Linked DNA regions of Cricetulus griseus. The protein of the gene in region 1 purifies or fractionates together with the protein of each later gene. This does not show direct contact. Links are inferred from orthologs where the notes say so. Each region holds a gene or a part of one and is shown on either strand. Other genes may lie near its edges.

Region 1 (6,307 bases):
CTCCAAAACTATACTCACCAGAGCTGGGATGCTGGACATACATGCCAAATTTGGGAAACTTCCTGAAGTTACTAAGGACAACCAGTCATGTTCCCAGAAAGAGTCTATGGTCCATCTTCACATAAATAAATACTACTACTTCCGAGTTACAGATGGGACTTTAGAGAACCCACCATCTACATGAAGTAGTTCACCTGACAGTCCTTCAATCCCTTAGAAATATTTGTTTAGCCTGGCAGTAGTGTCGCACGCCTTTAATCCCAGCACTTGGGAGGCAGAGGCAGGCAGATCTCTTCGAGTTCAAGGCCAGCCTGGTCTACAGAGTGAGTTCCAGTACACAAAAATACACAGAGAAACCCTGTCTCGAAAAAAAGAAATATTTACTTAAAGTCGGGAATAAAGCATGGGAAAACCTAGCAAGCATACAAAGAGAGTACTATCTGTAGAGTACTATCTGTGACTCGGTAACATTTCTTGGAGTACTATCTGTAGAGTACTATCTGTGACTCGGTAACATTTCTTGAAGACTGATTGATTCAAGTGATATGTAACAGCCTTCTTGGATAAATCCAGCCGCAAATATTTTAGTTCCCTGAAAACAAAAAACAAGCAAAAGAAAAAAAAAAGTGCTTCTTGGCTCAAATTATAGGGATTTCTTTCTTTACTGGCAGCTCAGTGTAGGCTTTTTCTGCATGTGTTTTTAGGATAGTATCGCAGATTGCACGTGTTTTTATCACATCAACACTTAACACTCTTTAAATAATAACGAAACGGGAGGCCTGGATTCTGTCTGTTTCTCCGGGGCTTGTTCCTCACTTAAGTGACCTTGGGCAAGTATCATTCCTTCTCTCCTATCTGGTTTCTACATATCTGTTCCAGCATCTCCTTCACAACCCTATGGGATCTCTCTTGTACCGAAAGCCCTCACCCAGGGCTGTGAAGCCTGGTCCCTACCGTCTGGGGGTCAGCTAATGACAACCTGAGCTGCGCCGTGCTGCTCAAGCTACCGAGCGGTGCTGGAAAGCGGGAAACACGGCAAGCCCTGCGGCAGCTCTTCCTTAGTACCTGCCGTTTTCAGCCTCTTACAGCGACAGCCTTAAGCTGCTATGTCACAGTCTCCTTCCACAGCGATCTTCCGAGGAGGGTGAGGCCGCTCGCTGAGCGGCCCACTCGGGCTGGACCGGCAGCCGGGCCGTGCGCAGCGACAGCTGTGCTGCACATTGTTCCCGAGGCTCACAACACACAGCCATCTTGCATCAAGAACGGCGGCCCAGGCAGGAGCGGGTGAGCGCGGTGTCGCCGCCGCCGCCGTCGGGGAAGCAGCGCTGGCAGTGGCCGCCCCGCCTCTCCCGGGTAGAGTCCGCGACGGGCTTGTCCTCAGGCGATTTGGCCCGGCCCTCGGACGCGCCCGCGCCCCGCGCCCGCGCTAGGCGGGAAGCGAACCGCGGGGCCCCGCCCCTGCCGCGCGCAACGGGCGCGGCCCGAGAGTGGGCGCGGGCCTCGGGCTTCCACTCGCCGGCTTCCGGCTCGGGCGCCTCGTCCACCGGGCGCGGCGACCGCGGGGCCGCGGCCTTCTCCCCGCCCCACGCGGGCGGGCGCCTCGGGGACGCGCGCGGGGGCGGCGCCCCTCCCCCCGCAGGCCGGGCGCTGGCCCGCGGCCCGCCCTCCCATCCCCCACGGGCCCCCTCGGTACCCCCCCTTATCCCTCACCCCCCCACCCCCGGGAGCCGGGGCTCCGGGGGCTCCCCGTGGCGCTGGCCCCGGGCGGGGAGGGAAGCGAGCGCGGGCCGGGCCGGGGGCGGGCGGCGTCTCGGCGGGCCCCGCGGCCCCTCGGCGTGTCTTTTGTGTTTGTACACACCGCGAGAGGCGGCGGGAGCCGGGGGCGGGCGGCGCGCGGGGTGGGGGGGCGGGGGTGGAGGAGGAGCGAGCGCGCGCGCCAGCGAACGGGCGCGCGGGGGGAGGGGCGGGGGGCGGGCGCGCGGGCCCCGGGGCGGGGCCGAGCCTTCCCTCCATTGTGTGTGATTGGCTGGCGCGGCGCGGGGCGGGGCGGCGTGTGTGGGGGTAGCCTCGGTGTCAGCCATCTTTCAATTGTGTTCGCAGCCGTCGCCGCCGCCGCCGCCGCTCTCTAACGCCAGCGCCGCCTCTCGCTTGCCGAGCTCCAGCCGAAGGAGAAGGGGGGTAAGTTTCTCCGTCCGCCCGCTCTCCCGGAGCCGGGCCCCGTCCGCCGGCGCTGCCGTAGCGGGCCGCGGAGGGCCCCCGCAGCCCCTCGGGCTCGACCCTCAAACTTTTTGGCGCAGACACGGAGACGGGGAGCGAGTTTCCCTCTCCTCGGGCGGCGGCGGCGGCGGCGGCGGCGGCAGCTCTCCGTCTCCGCCTCAGCCCGGCGGCGGCCCCGCCGCGCCGCCTGCCGAGCCTGCTGGCCCTCCCGCGCCGCGGGCTCTCCTTTCTTCGGTGAAATCCCGCCCGCCGCCCCTTCCCGGGACCCCAGACCTTCACCAGGTCCCGCGCGAGCCCCTCAACTGCCGCCTGCGGGTCCCGGGCCGCAGTTTGTCGGGCGCGAAATGGGTAAAATCGCCGTCGCTTCCCGCCCCGGGCGAACTCGCTTTTTGCTGCCTCCCCACAGTTGTGGCTGAGCTTCACCATCTTGTCTCTCTTCTCTGGTCACCGACCATGTTTCTTTTCCCCCCCGTTTCTCTCTTCCCCATTTTAAAATGGAAGGAGGAAAAAAATCTTAAGCACCTTTTTTTTTATTTTTTTGCCTTTTTTGGAGGAAAAAAAAGGAAACTTGATGCATATGAAATTCGAAATAACGAAAAAAAGAACTTTTGCATTTGGGGGAGAGCGGCACGTGGCAGGGGATGGGGTATTTTTCGAAGGGTTTGCTGTTTGTGTCTTTGGAAGGGAGTCGGATACATTTTGCAATTGTTTCCATTTTGTGCTAGCCTTGGGGAGCCGAGTCGTTCGCTGCCGGCACGGGGCGCCCGGGCCGGGCCGGGCAGGGCAGGTCGGGGACCCGGGACCCGGGGACCCGGGGGAGGCAGAAGCAAAAGTTTATGTGGTGCTGGGGTGGGCCGGGCGGCCGGTGTCGAGCGCTAATTAAGACTGGGTGCGGGGCAGTCGGCTGGCATAGCGAAGCCCGGGAGGACGGGCTTTGTGGAATGCTCGCTGGCAATAGCTGTTGTTCTTGTCTTTCGAGACGCCTTTTTGTCAACATAACCGTAAAGATAGAAACCTCAAGAATGTTTACAGATATTTACAGCAATCCAACTGCCGAGCGCGAGGCGGGGGGCGCGAACGGGGGGGGGACGCTGGAACCTTTTTTCTTTTTTTCTTTCTTTTTTTTTTTTTTGGCTGTAATTTGACTCGACCTTTCTGTGGTTTGTGGCTTCTTTCGTTTGACTTGTTTGTGATCGAATGCTTGCAGGCATTTCTAATTTCTACTTTAATTAAAGAAATTGAATTAAAACCCATTGGGGTGGTCTCGCTGGTTTTGGCCGTTTGTCGCTTGGAATTGGCGTTATGAGTATTAATGCTGACAATTTTCCGGTTTGTTTTAAGTCGTATTTGGGTAGTAGACCTAACCTGCGCCCTTTCAAATTAATTATATAACAGCCTTTTTTTTTTCTCAGTAATGATAGGTTTCTGGGATTTTTTTTTTTTTTAGGGGGTGGCTTCTGGCAAGAAAATGTATGTTTTAGTTGAATATGATTTTTTTTTTTTTAATACTGGTAGGTAAGTAAGGAGGTGCTCTTACCATGGCTCGTACAAAGCAGACTGCCCGCAAATCCACCGGTGGTAAAGCACCCAGGAAACAACTGGCTACAAAAGCCGCTCGCAAGAGTGCGCCCTCTACTGGAGGGGTGAAAAAACCTCATCGTTACAGGTATTTATAAAAGGGGGAGGAATAGGACAGTGTCTAAACAGTATGTCCATGTAATTTAACAGGAAGGTGAGGGAAAGATGTTTTCCTTCTGAATGTTTACTGCTGCTTGAAAATACACGTGCATATGTTCATTTATGAATACATGTAACTTAGTGTCAGGCTTTATTGATAACATTTTGAAGTTGTAATCTGATCTAAATTCTAAAGGGACGCGGTTCTCAACTGGTAGTAGGACACATTAACATTTTAACCATTAGCATTTTAAGTATGAAATGGTTTCATATGTGTATACAGGCACATAAAAATGGTTGTGTTTTTACACATACTTTTTGTTTTGGTTGACCCACACTTGTGGTAAAGTGTAGTACCTTAGGGAGACTAGTAAAGAAAGTCTCTTGGTCATAATTACTTGGGTTTTTCCCTCCTTTACTCCCTCATTTTATTTTTATGTAAGCACTGTTGTTAAGGACATCTGCCATTAGAGGGCATAAGTTGCCCAAATTTGCATAGACAGATTGTACAGTGAACAGCTCATAGAGTTGAAATAAGTCAAATTTAGGGGTTAAAGGATTTGTTTTCTCTCTTATCTTTCCCACTCTCTTCCCCCAATAAAGCTTCCCAAGTTAAAAAAAAAAAGTATTATAGACAATGACTTAATTTTAGAAAATTTTTCATGTGGGAGAAACAATGTGAAATCAAGTTTTCAAATTCAGTCATTCATGACTGGTGATACAATACTGGGAGATCAAATACGAGTGTTTTAAGTGAATCGTTGTAAATTATGTTGGTAACTCTTTTAGGACTTTAAAACCTAAGGCACAGATGGGGCAACAGAAAGTGTTGCTTAAACTGGGAAGATGTCTTTATTGCCAGCCTAACTTCGAATATGCTCCCAAGTCTTGTTTGTTTGTTTGTTTTTAAGGCGGGGCTCACTCTAACCTATCCTTGCCTGGAATTCATTATGTAGATCAGGCTGGTATCAAGCCTCCTGCCTCTGCCTCCTGAGTCCTGGTGCAAGTATTCAATACCACACTCAGGTGTGGTTCTCAGGTCAAGATTCGGGGGTGGGTGAACAGATAAAATGAATATGGTGCTTTCATAAACTGCCACTTTGTGTTTGTTTTGTTTTGTTTTTTGTGATCTCGAAGGGCGGTGGTGGCGCACGCCTTTAATCCCAGCACTTGGGAGGCAGAGGCAGGTGGATCTCTGAGTTCGAGACCAGCCTGGTCGACAAGAGCTAGTTCCAGGACAGTCTCCAAAGCTACACAGGGAAACCCTGTCTTGAAAAACCAAAAAAAAAAAGTGATCTCAACAGATTTGAATATTCAGGTCATAAAACTGATCTGTGAAATGGGGCGCTCAAGAATGGTTTAGAGTTCATGTATTTCTTTAAAACTGACTACTGTTGTGTTGTGTGTGTTTAGTAACAACTTTTTAATGTTAACTTTTGAAGGCCTGGTACTGTGGCACTCCGTGAAATCAGACGCTATCAGAAATCCACTGAACTTCTGATTCGCAAGCTCCCCTTCCAGCGTCTGGTTCGAGAAATTGCTCAGGACTTCAAAACAGATCTGCGCTTCCAGAGTGCAGCTATTGGTGCTTTGCAGGTAAATAGATGGGTGGGAAGACCCTGTTTTTGTTGATGATTTGCACGTCTTTCTTGTTTTAAGTCTGTGAGGTAGTGATTCGCTCTTGATGAAATTTAAAGGTAAGCCGAGTAGTGGTGGTCTTTAATTACAGCCCTTGGGAGGCAGAGCCAGAGTTCCAGGACAGCCAGGATTACACATAGAAAGCCCGTTTTGAGAAACCTAAAAATGATTCAAGGTTATGCACATAAAAATTAAAATCCTAATTTGATTCTAAAGCCTAATACAGTTGTTATGCTTTGTTTGTTTACTTGTTTATTTAGGTTTTTTGGAGCAGGATTTCTCTGTGTAACAGTCCCAGCTGTCCTGGAACTCACTTTGTAGAGTAGGCTGGCCTCGAACTTACTGAGATCTGCTTGCTTCTTCCTCCCAAGTGCTAGGATTAAAGGCATGCACCACCACTGCCTGACATAATTATTTTTCTAACATTGCATTAAAAACAGGCTGGGCATTGGTGGCGCACGCCTTTAATCCCAACACTCAGGAGGCAGAGGCAGGCGGATCTCTGTGAGTTGGAGGCCAGCCTGGTCTCCAGAGTGAGTGCCAGGATAGGCTCCAAAGCTACACAGAGAAACCCTGTCTTGAAACCACCACCACCACCACCACCCCCAAAAACAAAACAAAAAAAAACAGTGCTTAACTCTGGGTTGTTTTGTGGGTGCTACAGGTCATTAGGATATAGAACTAGAATTCTATTTGTAGCCACTTTCTATTAGTAGTGATGAAGAAATGTCTTTCTGGATGTAAAGAAGCAAATTAGGATATAGTTTAATGTCTA
Region 2 (5,850 bases), on another chromosome or scaffold:
TGTGTGTGTGTGTGTGTGTGTGTGTGTGTGTGTGTGTGTATGTGTAAACTAGAAATCTGTGTGTGTGTGTGTGTGTGTGTGTGTGTGTGTGTGTGTGTATGTGTATGTGTAAACTAGAAATCTGGCCAGGATAGTGTTGTACATCTATAATCCCAAAGATAGAAGCAGGAGAATCAGGAGTTCAAAGCCAGTCTTAGTTACATATCTAGTTTGAGACCAGCCTGGATACATCAAACCCTGTCTTAAATTGAAAAGAGGTCTGAGAGTTGGCTCAGCAGTTAAAAGCACATAAACCAGGCCATGGTGACACACACCTTTAATCCCAGCACTTGGGAGGCAGAGTCAGGTGGATCTCTGTTGTTTCGATGCTGATCTGGTCTAAAGAGTGAGTTCCAGGATAGCCAGGGCTACAGAGAAACCCTGTCTTGTAAGACCAAAACAAAACAAAACAAAAAGGTGTAGACAGGACAGTCTAGCAAGGTCTTGATTCTCCCTGCCACCCTGAATAGTGACTGTGCACATTAGTTTTCAGGAGAAAAAAATGGTGTGTGCACACATGTGTTTATATGAGTGGGGGCACATGTGTGCCATGGTAAGTGTGTTGAGTTCAGTCTTCACCTTCTATCTTGTTTGAGACAGGATCTCTTTGTTGTTCACTATTGCATCAGGCTAGCTGGCCCTTGAGTTTATAGGGTGTCTCATCGTATGGGTGCACCAGATTATAGATTCAATGACACCACACCCACTTTTATATGGGGCCTGGGGATTTAAACTCAGGTCTCAGGGCTGAGGCTCTAGCTCAGTGATAAGAGTACTTGTCTAGCATTCTCAAGGACCTATATTCAATCCCTACTACTGCTAGGAAAAAGGGAAACCACTGACTTAATGCTGCCTTAGGCTGGTGCTTTAGCTCAGTTGGTGGATTGCTTGACTAGTGTGTACGAAGCCCTGGATTTGATCCCCAGCACCACACAAACTGGGCATGGTGATGAATACTTGTAACCCTAGCACTGGGAGGTAGAGTCAGTAGAATCAGAAGTTCAAGGTTATCCTCAGCTGTATAATAGACCAGTGTGGGCCTATTATGAGACCCTGTCTCAAAAATAGAACAAGGATTTTCTGTTTCCTGTGAGCCCTTCCTTGGTTTGCAGCCATGCTGAAGATATCTATAAAAACTTATGTTTTTTGATCTTTCTGAGGTGTCTGTAACCTGTCAAAGTGAGACAAGGGCATATAGTGGATAAGCTGCAATCAGCCTAATGAACACTCTCACTCTCTCTCTCTCTCTCTCTCTCTCTCTCTCTCTCTCTATATATATATATATATATATATATATATCTTTCTCTCTCTCTCTCAATCTCTCAGTCTCTCGCCTTTGCCTCCTTCGTATTAGGATTGAAGGTGTGTGCCGCCATGCCCAGCTGAAAAGGACTTCTTTTAGTTCATTTATGTTTTAACTTTCTGTGGTGTCAGGGTTCATGAATACATACTAGCTAGTCTCATTGAAAGTTTTAGTATGATCTGGTGCAGTTAGATTTCACCAGCCACATTTCTCCATAGTGCTACAGTGACGCTTTCAGTTAACTTAAGAAGCCAATGATTGGTTGGAAGTGTTCACTTTCACATGAACATAAATATATAGGGAACCATTTTCAGTTGGATCTTTTTAAATGAGAAACTTGCCATTTGTCCATGTTTATGAAGGCTTTGGATGGGATTCAGGGCTCCTCTAGATTTTAAATTTGTCATGAAGATAACTTCTGGGGAGGGTGTTTTGCTTGTTTTTTTTTTTTTTTTTTTTTTTTGTGTGTGTGTGTGTGTGTGTGTGTGTGTGTGTGAGTGTTTTGTCTGCATGTCTACCATGTGCATGCTGGGTGCCCACAGAGGTCAGAAGAGGGTGTTGGATCTCTTGGAGCTGTAGTTAAGACCATTGTGAGCCATCATAATAGGCAATGGGAATCAAACCGGGGCCCTAGGGAAGAATAGCTAATTTTTAACAACTCCAACAGCTGGGCAATGGTAGTGCATGCATGCCTTTAATCCCAGCACTTGGGAGGCAGAGGCAGGTAGATAGATCTCTGAGTTCTAGGACAGCCTGGTCTACAGAGCAAGTTCCAAGACAGCCAGGGCTACACAAAGAAACCAGAAAACAGACAAATAAACCAACAAATAAAACCACAAAGGTCTTCACTGAGCTATCCCTGCCCATTTTTGTGTTACATAAATTTATATAATAAATTTAAATTAGTGTATATAAATCTGTTTATATATCTATTAGTTTGTATGTGCATTATGGATATACACATGCTATATATATACACATATATAGTAACCATACATATTTTTTGTTTTTGATTTTTTTTTTTTTTGAAACAGGGTTTCTCTGTGTATCCTTGACTGTCCTGGGACTTACTCTGTAGACCAGGCTAGCCTCAACTCATGGATATCCCCCTGCCTCTGCCTCTCCTGAGTGCTGGGAATAAAGGCGTATGCTACCACTGCAGGGCTCATACATAATATATTACTTCTCTGCTTCATAAAAGAAACATATTTGCTATTTTAGGAATTATCTCTGTGCCCTAGAAGCCCCTAGATGCTGGCTCATAGAGACTTCCCCATTATTCTTTTGAGTGCTGAGTAGTGAGGTTCTTATTGTGTGTGTGTGTTTTCTCTCCAGAAAGGAACCGGAGGGGCAATGCTGCTGTCCAACACTTCTTCCTTAAGCCTGCTGTCTTCATCCTACAAGCCCAGCAACCCCAAGCTTCAGGGGGCTATGAACTCAAACTCACTGGGAATCATAACCTCTGTCCCATTTCCACTTCACGTGCTCTCCTTCAGTTCAGACTCCTCTGCCAAAGCAGGGGTCTCTAAGGATGCCATTGTTACAGGCCCAGCCCCTGGGACCTTCCATCATGGCCTCAGCCACAGTAAGTTCTTGTTTCCTGCCTCTGTTTCTATGTTGTGTGCCATGTTGGATCCTCTATGTGTTTGGTGTAACTGTGGGAGCACCCCTGTCCTGGGAAGCTGCTTAGTGCCCAGTGTTGTTGGTTTGTTCCAGATTGGCCTACAGGTTGCCTGGGGCTCTGAATCTCCCAAGCTGCTTTTCTGTTCTGTCTTCAATGTGTGTGTTTTGTTCTCTCCCCTCCTGTTTTCTCTCAGGTCTTCTGGCTGGCTTGCACTCCAGCCCACCCCACACAGCGCCTCTCCCACATACTGCTGTGTCCACCCATGTCCCACAGAGTCTGCCAGGTAAATGCCAGGTGGGCAGTGTGCCATGAGCCCTGTGGGCCATACCCCTTCACCCTTAGGTGCTTTGCTGCCAGCGCTTTTAGTCATCTCTGCTTCACCCTCACTGTTTTGTATTTTGCTTTGTCTTTTGAGGCTCTGGCTCTTTGGCTTTGGGTTCCAGAATAATATAACCCTGTACTACCAGAGGCTTTTCCTGGTTTCCTTTTTGAATGGCCATAAGGTCTGACTTAGCCTGTATAATAACAGTATATGTTGAGCCTGAACATGAAACAGAGGAGCTCCAACTCTTAATGTGCATTTAAAGAGAAGAAAGGTAATGGTGGCTCTTGTCCAAAGGTTAACCAAGTACTTCAGGGCCTTCATGGTGAAATACTACACACCTGCCAGGCATTGTCAAGTGGCAGATACTCTTTGAAAGGAATAAATATCCACAGAACAGGAAGAGAACATAATACATGACTATGAGAGAGTTAGTATGGACCCAAAAGAGAAGCAGTTTTCAATCTACCCTGGTGTAAACCTTCCTTTAAAACAGATTTGGAAGCACACCAGGAATGAAGCAATCCACCTTGGTGTAAAACCTTCCTTTAAAACAGATTTGGAAGTACACCAGGAATGAAGCCAGTGTCTCCTGACAGAATGGTGCTTCTGGAAGTAGGCAGCTCTAAAAGCCCTAGGTACATGTATTGCCAGCTTGAGAGCATGAGAATGGGGAATATTTGCCACAGGCAGCCATCTTGTAGTAAGTGGACTGGTCTCACTCTGTCCTGATTCCTGGATTCTTGCATATAGGCACCTCTTGGGATTTTGGCTTAGGGGCCTGATGAGAAACTGATTTTGACCTAGTGTTCTTAGCACTTTAGACCTGTTCTAAACAGAACCCAGGCCTATACTAGGGAGAGGAGGGCTGAGCTTAGGGATTATGGGGATTTGTATAGGGCAGGAGTCAGATGCAGACTCGAGGGCTATGTGTGCCTTTGACTGCTCATGGACAGTCTGGGCTCACAGCTCCTTGTGTGCTTTGTGATCTGCTTGTGTGTTCCTTGAAGCCATGTCTTAAAAGCTGAGAACTCTGTAGTGAATATCAAAGACCTTGTTAGGATGAGGGTGAGTTTGTAGGTTTCTTTGAGGAGCAAAGCCAGTGTCAGTTGTCACTCCTTTCCTCTGAAGAAGCAGTCACATCTGAGGACTTTCTCTGCACTGGTGGCTGCCACTTAAATTAAGTGCAATGTGGGTGACTCCTCAGCTACTGAGAGCCTGTGTGGTGTGAAAGTGAGATGGTGCCACCTTCCACTTGCTTTGGAAATGGCTCTCTTTGAGAGAAACAAAGTAATTGAAGAGTAGAAACAGACTCTGGGTCTGTGGAGTTTTCAGTCAACAGAGGCAGGAGGGAGACTGGATAGAGGGGGGGCAGGGGAATCAAACACTTTTTGTACTATTTTCCTGTTTTTCCCCGTGGTCTTCCAAAGCTATCTGAAGGGTTGGGGGTGTAGTTCAGTGGTCAAGCATTTTCCTATCATATATAAAGCCCCAGGTCTATTACCAGTACCACAGAGAGGAAAAGGAAAAACATCGTAGGCAATCAGAAGAGCAGCCATGCAAAATGGGTTAGCAGGGAGCTGAGACTTGTTTCTGCTCTTCCTTCTTTTCTCCCACATGGACTTGATGCTGTTGCTTTTGCCTTTGTCCCTCTGGTATCTGAGTGCATTTTGATGTTAAGAGAATGAACATTGTCTGGATTCTGTGTGGTCATCAGGCCTTGCAGTGGCCCTTGTCATGTTGCAGAATTTCTGTTCTGTAGACATTGCTCCTCAGCCCCCTGCCTGCACAGTGCTAGTTTGGGGACATTTGCTACTTAACATTCCTGTGAAGTTTGTTTATGCTGTCTAGAGGAGTTTGAGTGCTTAAAGAATGTTCTGTTTTTGCTTATTCTTTTCCAGATACTTCACAGCTTCATGGGAAAGGGCCTGTTGTACCAAGGAAATTGTGACCACTTTGGAGGATGGAATCAAATGAAGTAGGTCTGGGAGGAAGTCTACCATGTAGGTCTCTGATAACAGACATTTGCTGTGCTCTTCCTGTCCACTGCTTTTCTTCTGGAGCAGCAATGAGTTTGAAATGGAGCACTTCTTAGCACTTCTGATGGGCCTTCAACCAAGTGGCAGCTTCTGCTGCTTACGAAGCACTTACTGACCTGGTGCTCTGGGCCTTATGGCTTTGTCGCTGGACGACATCAAGGGGCAGCTCTGGGCTGGGAAGTGTGCCTAGACTGTGTTGGGAAGCACAGTGTGCATGAACTCCTGTGGCAGATCTGTTGCCTACTGGGTTCTAGGTCTGCCCAACTCCTGGCATTTGGTGTGAGTATCTCAGAGCTCCCTACTGGTCAGAACTCCTCCTGGCCACAGTAGAGTCCCTGGATGGTTGTGATTGCATCCCATCCTCAGACTGTGTGCTCAAGAGGACAAGACCCAGGTCAGAGCCACAGGTGGGAGACCTTGAAAAATACTAAGAACACCTAATATGTGCTCTTATAGGGGCCAGTTTCTCCTCAGAACATGACAATGAAGCTCTTATAGAGAAAAAGATCTTTATAGATTCATC
Region 3 (4,632 bases), on another chromosome or scaffold:
GTGGTGACAAGTCTTCCAAGGCCGTCACACACACCTTGCAGAGGGGGAAGAAAATCTCCCAAGCCACAGGGTGCTCTGGGTGGATACCTTTGTGTGCACACAGGTCCCATGGCAGGGAATAGCCTGTGCCAGCACCCAGGCCTGGGTCTGAGGGTTCTCCCTACCATGGCTGGTGGGGGTCTGGGTAGGTGGAGGTGCTCCGATGAGTGACTGCAGTCCCTGGTTTCTTGGCTCTTCAGGTGGCTGGTCTGAGGACTTATCTTGGGTTGCCATGTTTCTAGCTGCAAAGGGCCTGGATTAGGGAATCTAGGGTCTAGTCTACAGTTTCTTCCTTCTCAGTTGAGGGTATGTGCTCAGCCCATGAAGGCACAAAAGTACCCTTCATCTCCATTCTGGCCTAGAGCTTTTTGAGGAGAGACAAAGAGGACTCTGAAGTGGTGTCGGTGACAGTTGTAACAGGCAGGTATGAGCCCCTGGAACCTAAGTATCTCCAAAATAAATGGCATGGAGCACAGGAAAGGGAAAGGGCCAGTATCATGATCTGTCGTGTTGTGGTCTTAAAAGTTAACTTTTAGCTGGGCGTTGGTGGCGCACGCCTTTAATCCCAGCACTCGGGAGGCAGAGGTAGGTGGATCTCTGTGAGTTCAAGACCAGCCTGGTCTACAAGAGGTAGTTCCAGGACATCTCCAAAGCCACAAAAAAAAAAAAAAAAAAAAAAAAAAAAAGTTTCAGCCAAGTGCTGTGTAGTTGCTCAGGAGGCTGTGGCATGGCTGCCTGTCTGGTTACGCAGCAGGGTCTCGTCTCTCTCCCCAGACCTCGCGCTTTTGATTTGCTGCATGTATGTCTGTGTGCACACGGGTGCAGTGCCTGGTGAAGCCAGAAGGGAGCACTGCATTTCCTAGAACTGGAGTTAGGGCTGGATGTGGACTGCCATGTGTGTGCTGGGCACTGATCCTGGCAGAGCAGTTGGTGCTCTTGACAACTAAGGCAATTCTGCAGCCCCCATGCATTCTGTCCGGGCTCCACACTGGTGTAGCTGATACTGTCAGGGAGGAACTATGAGGAGGGACACCCCCTGCTCCTGAGCTGCTTTCACCCCCACTGTGCCCTTCTGTTAACTCCTTGGCATCACACAGGGTCTTCTTTCTTTGTGTCCTTACACTACAGGAGCTCCCCAGTCATCCAGGGGCTTTTGAACAGTAATTTGCCTCCCCCCCACACACCGTGTAATTAATCCCTGTACCATGTGAGCACACCCCCCCCCCCAGAGTAAGCAGAGAAGCAAAGACCATTTTCTCAGCTTTATTAGAAAAGAACAATGACAAAAAGGGTATATGGTGTGAGCTAGGCTCTCGATGTCTTGGCAATGAACTGTGGGCCTGGCCAGGGGGGCACGGGCTTGTAAAGAAAGTCAATATTCACAAAACAAAACAAAAGTGCCGGCCCTTCTGTGCAGACCACAACCAGTTCATCCTCATGTGCCTAAGACATGTCTCATCTTCCTCTGGGCTAACACACTGGGTGTGGACAGCTCAACCAGAGCAGGATGCTGTAAAGAGGGGGCTGGGCAGGCTTAGGAAGCCATGGGAAATGGTACCTTCACATGGGCTTCTGGCCGTCCCAGGGTCTGGCCCACAGGGATCCCAGGCCTGACTGTTAGGGCTCTGGGTGGGGCCCTCACATGTCCATCATCATGTAGTCGTCATCCTCGTCTGTCTCACTCTCCAGTGAAGACTCCTGGCTGGATGTCTCCAGAACCTCCAGGGCTGGCTGGCACAGGCTCTCCTTCCTCACATTGGCAGCTGACTGGGCGGACAGGATGGCTGACTGCACACAGGGTAGGGCAGAACATGGTCAGGAGTGACTGGCCTTACCCTAACCCTCTTGACATGAACCAAATTCTCAGCCAGGCCTCCCTGTAACTCAAGTCCCTTCCCAGACCGCCAGTACCATGAGCCCCTACACCAGGCCTCCTGCCTAGTACCCACAGTCACCTTCAGCTTCTGCTTGGTCTCCTCGGAGATGCTGCCTTTGGGGGAAAGCAGGGTCGGGGTAGGTGGTGTGACGGTGATCTCAGGGGGGAACTTGGTGGTGGCCGAGGGGATCACCAGCTTTGGCATGTTGGACAGGAGGCGGGATTTGGTCCTGCTGGACTCAGCCTTGCCTTGATGGCTCTCGGGTGTCTGGGTACTTCCGATGCTGGGGACCTTAGTGCTGGTGGCTGTTAGGAGACCACAGAGTTTGAGTTCACTCAGCCTCAGTCTGCCTGTCTCTTTGCTAAGAACTCAGTGGGCCCACACCATGGATCCTTTTCTGGCCTTCTGCCTACATTGACGTAAGGGTCCTGGGCTCACCTCGGGTTGCAGACCTTAGCATGCTAGCCTTGCAACGAGGAGCACCCTGGGCTTTGAGGAGCATCAGTGGACTCCAGCAGTCCCTCTGAGATTTCCCAGGGATTCGGAAGGGTCCCTCATCACCAAGATGACACAACCGTTGTATCTTCTGAGCTATTCCACTCCAGGGGGCCCAGTATATACTTTTCCTCTCACTGCAGGATGAGTAAGGAGCTGAGCCTCCTGGAGGCAGCCAAGGCCATGGCAGACTGCAGATCTGGGACCTGGCAGCCTCAAGGGAGCTGCGTGAACTGGGAATAACCCAGTTGCCCTGGCAAGGCTCCACATTCTTTTAGCCTCATCTCTTTAAAAGGAGTGGGAGCTTATCCAGAGCCCTGCCCGGTGTTCATGGGCTGGCGCCATGTCCTTCCATCCTGAGTGGTATATGGGAGACCTGGCCAAGTGGTCTCAAGGGGCCCGACCAGTAGAGTGGCTGGTGGATTCCCACAGAGAAACCTCAGTGACAGGCCCAAGCTCCTCCCCATACAGAACTCCAAACCCTACCGGTAGGACCCTTCTGTGGAGCTGAGGTGAAAGGAGGCTTTAGGGTCACAATAATAGTCCCTTGCTAGGTTCTATCCTTCAATCTACCAAGCCGGCTCCTCTGTGGGGAAGCCCACCTTCGGCTGTCATCTGAGAGCAGCCTGGTGGGAGCTGGTGCTGGGCTGCTCTCAACTGGCCTTACCTTGGCTACAGGTGGGCTCGGCACCAGTCTGGCCAGCAGCCTCCACTGACCAGCAGTGCTGCTCAGCCAGGGGCCCTGTGGCAGCCATTTTCATCTGGTGACTGTGCCGTGGTTCTTGGGGTGGGAAGCTGGTACCTTCTGTCGCTCCTGATTGCTCTTCACCCTCTATGGAGACACAGGCCAACTGCAGGTTACACCCCCATTTCATGGGGTGAGGGCAGGTCCCCTTCCCAGATCCCCACACTAGTGAGACAGGCCTTGTAGGCCCAGACTATGCCCTAGAACACATGGCCAACATGGGTACTTTGGGATTAGGTGTCTCCCCATCCCCACAGGAACCAGGAAGCAGCAAGCATTCTTCTGGGACAGCTGCACGAAGGCACAGACAGATAATTTCAAGATATCTATCACACCTCAAGGGGAGGGAGAGAGGCCAAGCTGGGCAGCTGTTCCTGACATAAGCAGAGCCCTGCCTAGTCTTTTTGGGCTGGCGCCTTGTCCTTCCATCCTGAGTGAGGGTCTTTGGGAACCCTGGCTAAGAGGTCTTGAGGGGCCCGCATAACTGAGTGGCTAGTGAGACTACATCTGTGCCCTGTCTCAGCTGCTCACAGGAACTCAGCTCTTGGCCTGGGTAAAGCCTCACCTCATGGCTGTCAGGGGCAGGCTTATGTGTGAGGTGCCTATCCCTCTTCCTGGCTCATAGGAATGGCAATCACAACCGGAGTCAAAACCATCCAAGCCATTAACTAAGACCAAAGTAGACAGAGAACACAAGGGCACCACATCTTCCTGCTAGGCCAAATCCCTCCTTCCCTGGCACAAGCCAAGGGCTTGGAAGTAGTCACATGTGCGAAAGACTGGATGGAACTAGGGACAACAGCATACCTCTATTACTAGTTAGGATCTGTCTCTCACCTCCTTGAAGTTTGTAGTGGACTTGCAGGTGCTCCCTCCTTCCTGCTCACTCAGGGACACTATCTGCCCAGCTCTCACCCTGCCCCCCAGGCTTCTGCCAGGAACAGCCATCCTCTTCCAGCAGGGAAAAGGCCAGGGCCTGAGTGCCACAGAACTGTCCCACCTAAATCTCCAGAGCTGGTCCAGAGGTCTCCTCTCTCCCATCTCTTTCTTAAAGAGGAGTTCTTGCTATGGGGCCCAGGAGAGAGGTTCATGGGATAGATTATCCAGTTTCAGCCTCCTGAGGAAGGTATGTACCACCACACCCAAGTTGGAGAAGACCTGACCTGAGCCACTCCCCCTCTTGTTTTCAATGCCTGGCGGTTTAGGTCATAGGCAATGACTAGCAGCATGGAGCACCTCAGGGTTCTGTAGCATCCCCAGCACCACCTTCTATTTGCAAGATAGAAAGCTAGGGTACACACCCACCAAGCTGCCTTCCCTGAGTCCTGACCCAATACGGTATCTGTCCATAGGGGGCAGCACTCCAGATGACCCCTTAAGCAGGAGAGGTGGGGGTCAGGATTCACAGGTAGGGAGAAGAAATGTCTGTCTTTGAGTTGGGTGTGAAGGCCCGTGCCTATAATTTCAGCACTTGGT

Evidence for each region. The genes of interacting proteins can lie anywhere in the genome.
Region 2: the proteins of histone H3.3A (region 1) and Ubn1 purify together in Homo sapiens (affinity purification with western blotting, with the first as the bait; 3 studies listed by BioGRID). This does not show direct contact. The link is inferred for Cricetulus griseus from reciprocal best matches to the Homo sapiens genes H3-3A and UBN1.
Region 3: the proteins of histone H3.3A (region 1) and Cabin1 purify together in Homo sapiens (affinity purification with western blotting, with the first as the bait; 3 studies listed by BioGRID). This does not show direct contact. The link is inferred for Cricetulus griseus from reciprocal best matches to the Homo sapiens genes H3-3A and CABIN1.

The regions. Positions count from the first base shown.
Region 1 is NC_048598.1:13,473,869-13,480,175, forward strand, and holds the start of histone H3.3A, read left to right. Parts: upstream 1-2,033; 5' UTR 2,034-2,178; intron 2,179-3,732; 5' UTR 3,733-3,755; coding exon 3,756-3,883; intron 3,884-5,336; coding exon 5,337-5,490; intron 5,491-6,307. UniProt on the Homo sapiens protein: Variant histone H3 which replaces conventional H3 in a wide range of nucleosomes in active genes. Constitutes the predominant form of histone H3 in non-dividing cells and is incorporated into chromatin independently of DNA synthesis.
Region 2 is NC_048600.1:41,616,073-41,621,922, reverse strand, and holds part of Ubn1 (ubinuclein-1), read left to right. Parts: intron 1-2,677; coding exon 2,678-2,927; intron 2,928-3,159; coding exon 3,160-3,249; intron 3,250-5,189; coding exon 5,190-5,239; 3' UTR 5,240-5,850. UniProt on the Homo sapiens protein: Acts as a novel regulator of senescence. Involved in the formation of senescence-associated heterochromatin foci (SAHF), which represses expression of proliferation-promoting genes. Binds to proliferation-promoting genes.
Region 3 is NW_023276806.1:262,943,413-262,948,044, reverse strand, and holds the end of Cabin1 (calcineurin-binding protein cabin-1), read right to left. Parts: intron 3,244-4,632; coding exon 3,079-3,243; intron 2,222-3,078; coding exon 1,995-2,221; intron 1,828-1,994; coding exon 1,678-1,827; 3' UTR 1,287-1,677; downstream 1-1,286. UniProt on the Homo sapiens protein: May be required for replication-independent chromatin assembly. May serve as a negative regulator of T-cell receptor (TCR) signaling via inhibition of calcineurin. Inhibition of activated calcineurin is dependent on both PKC and calcium signals.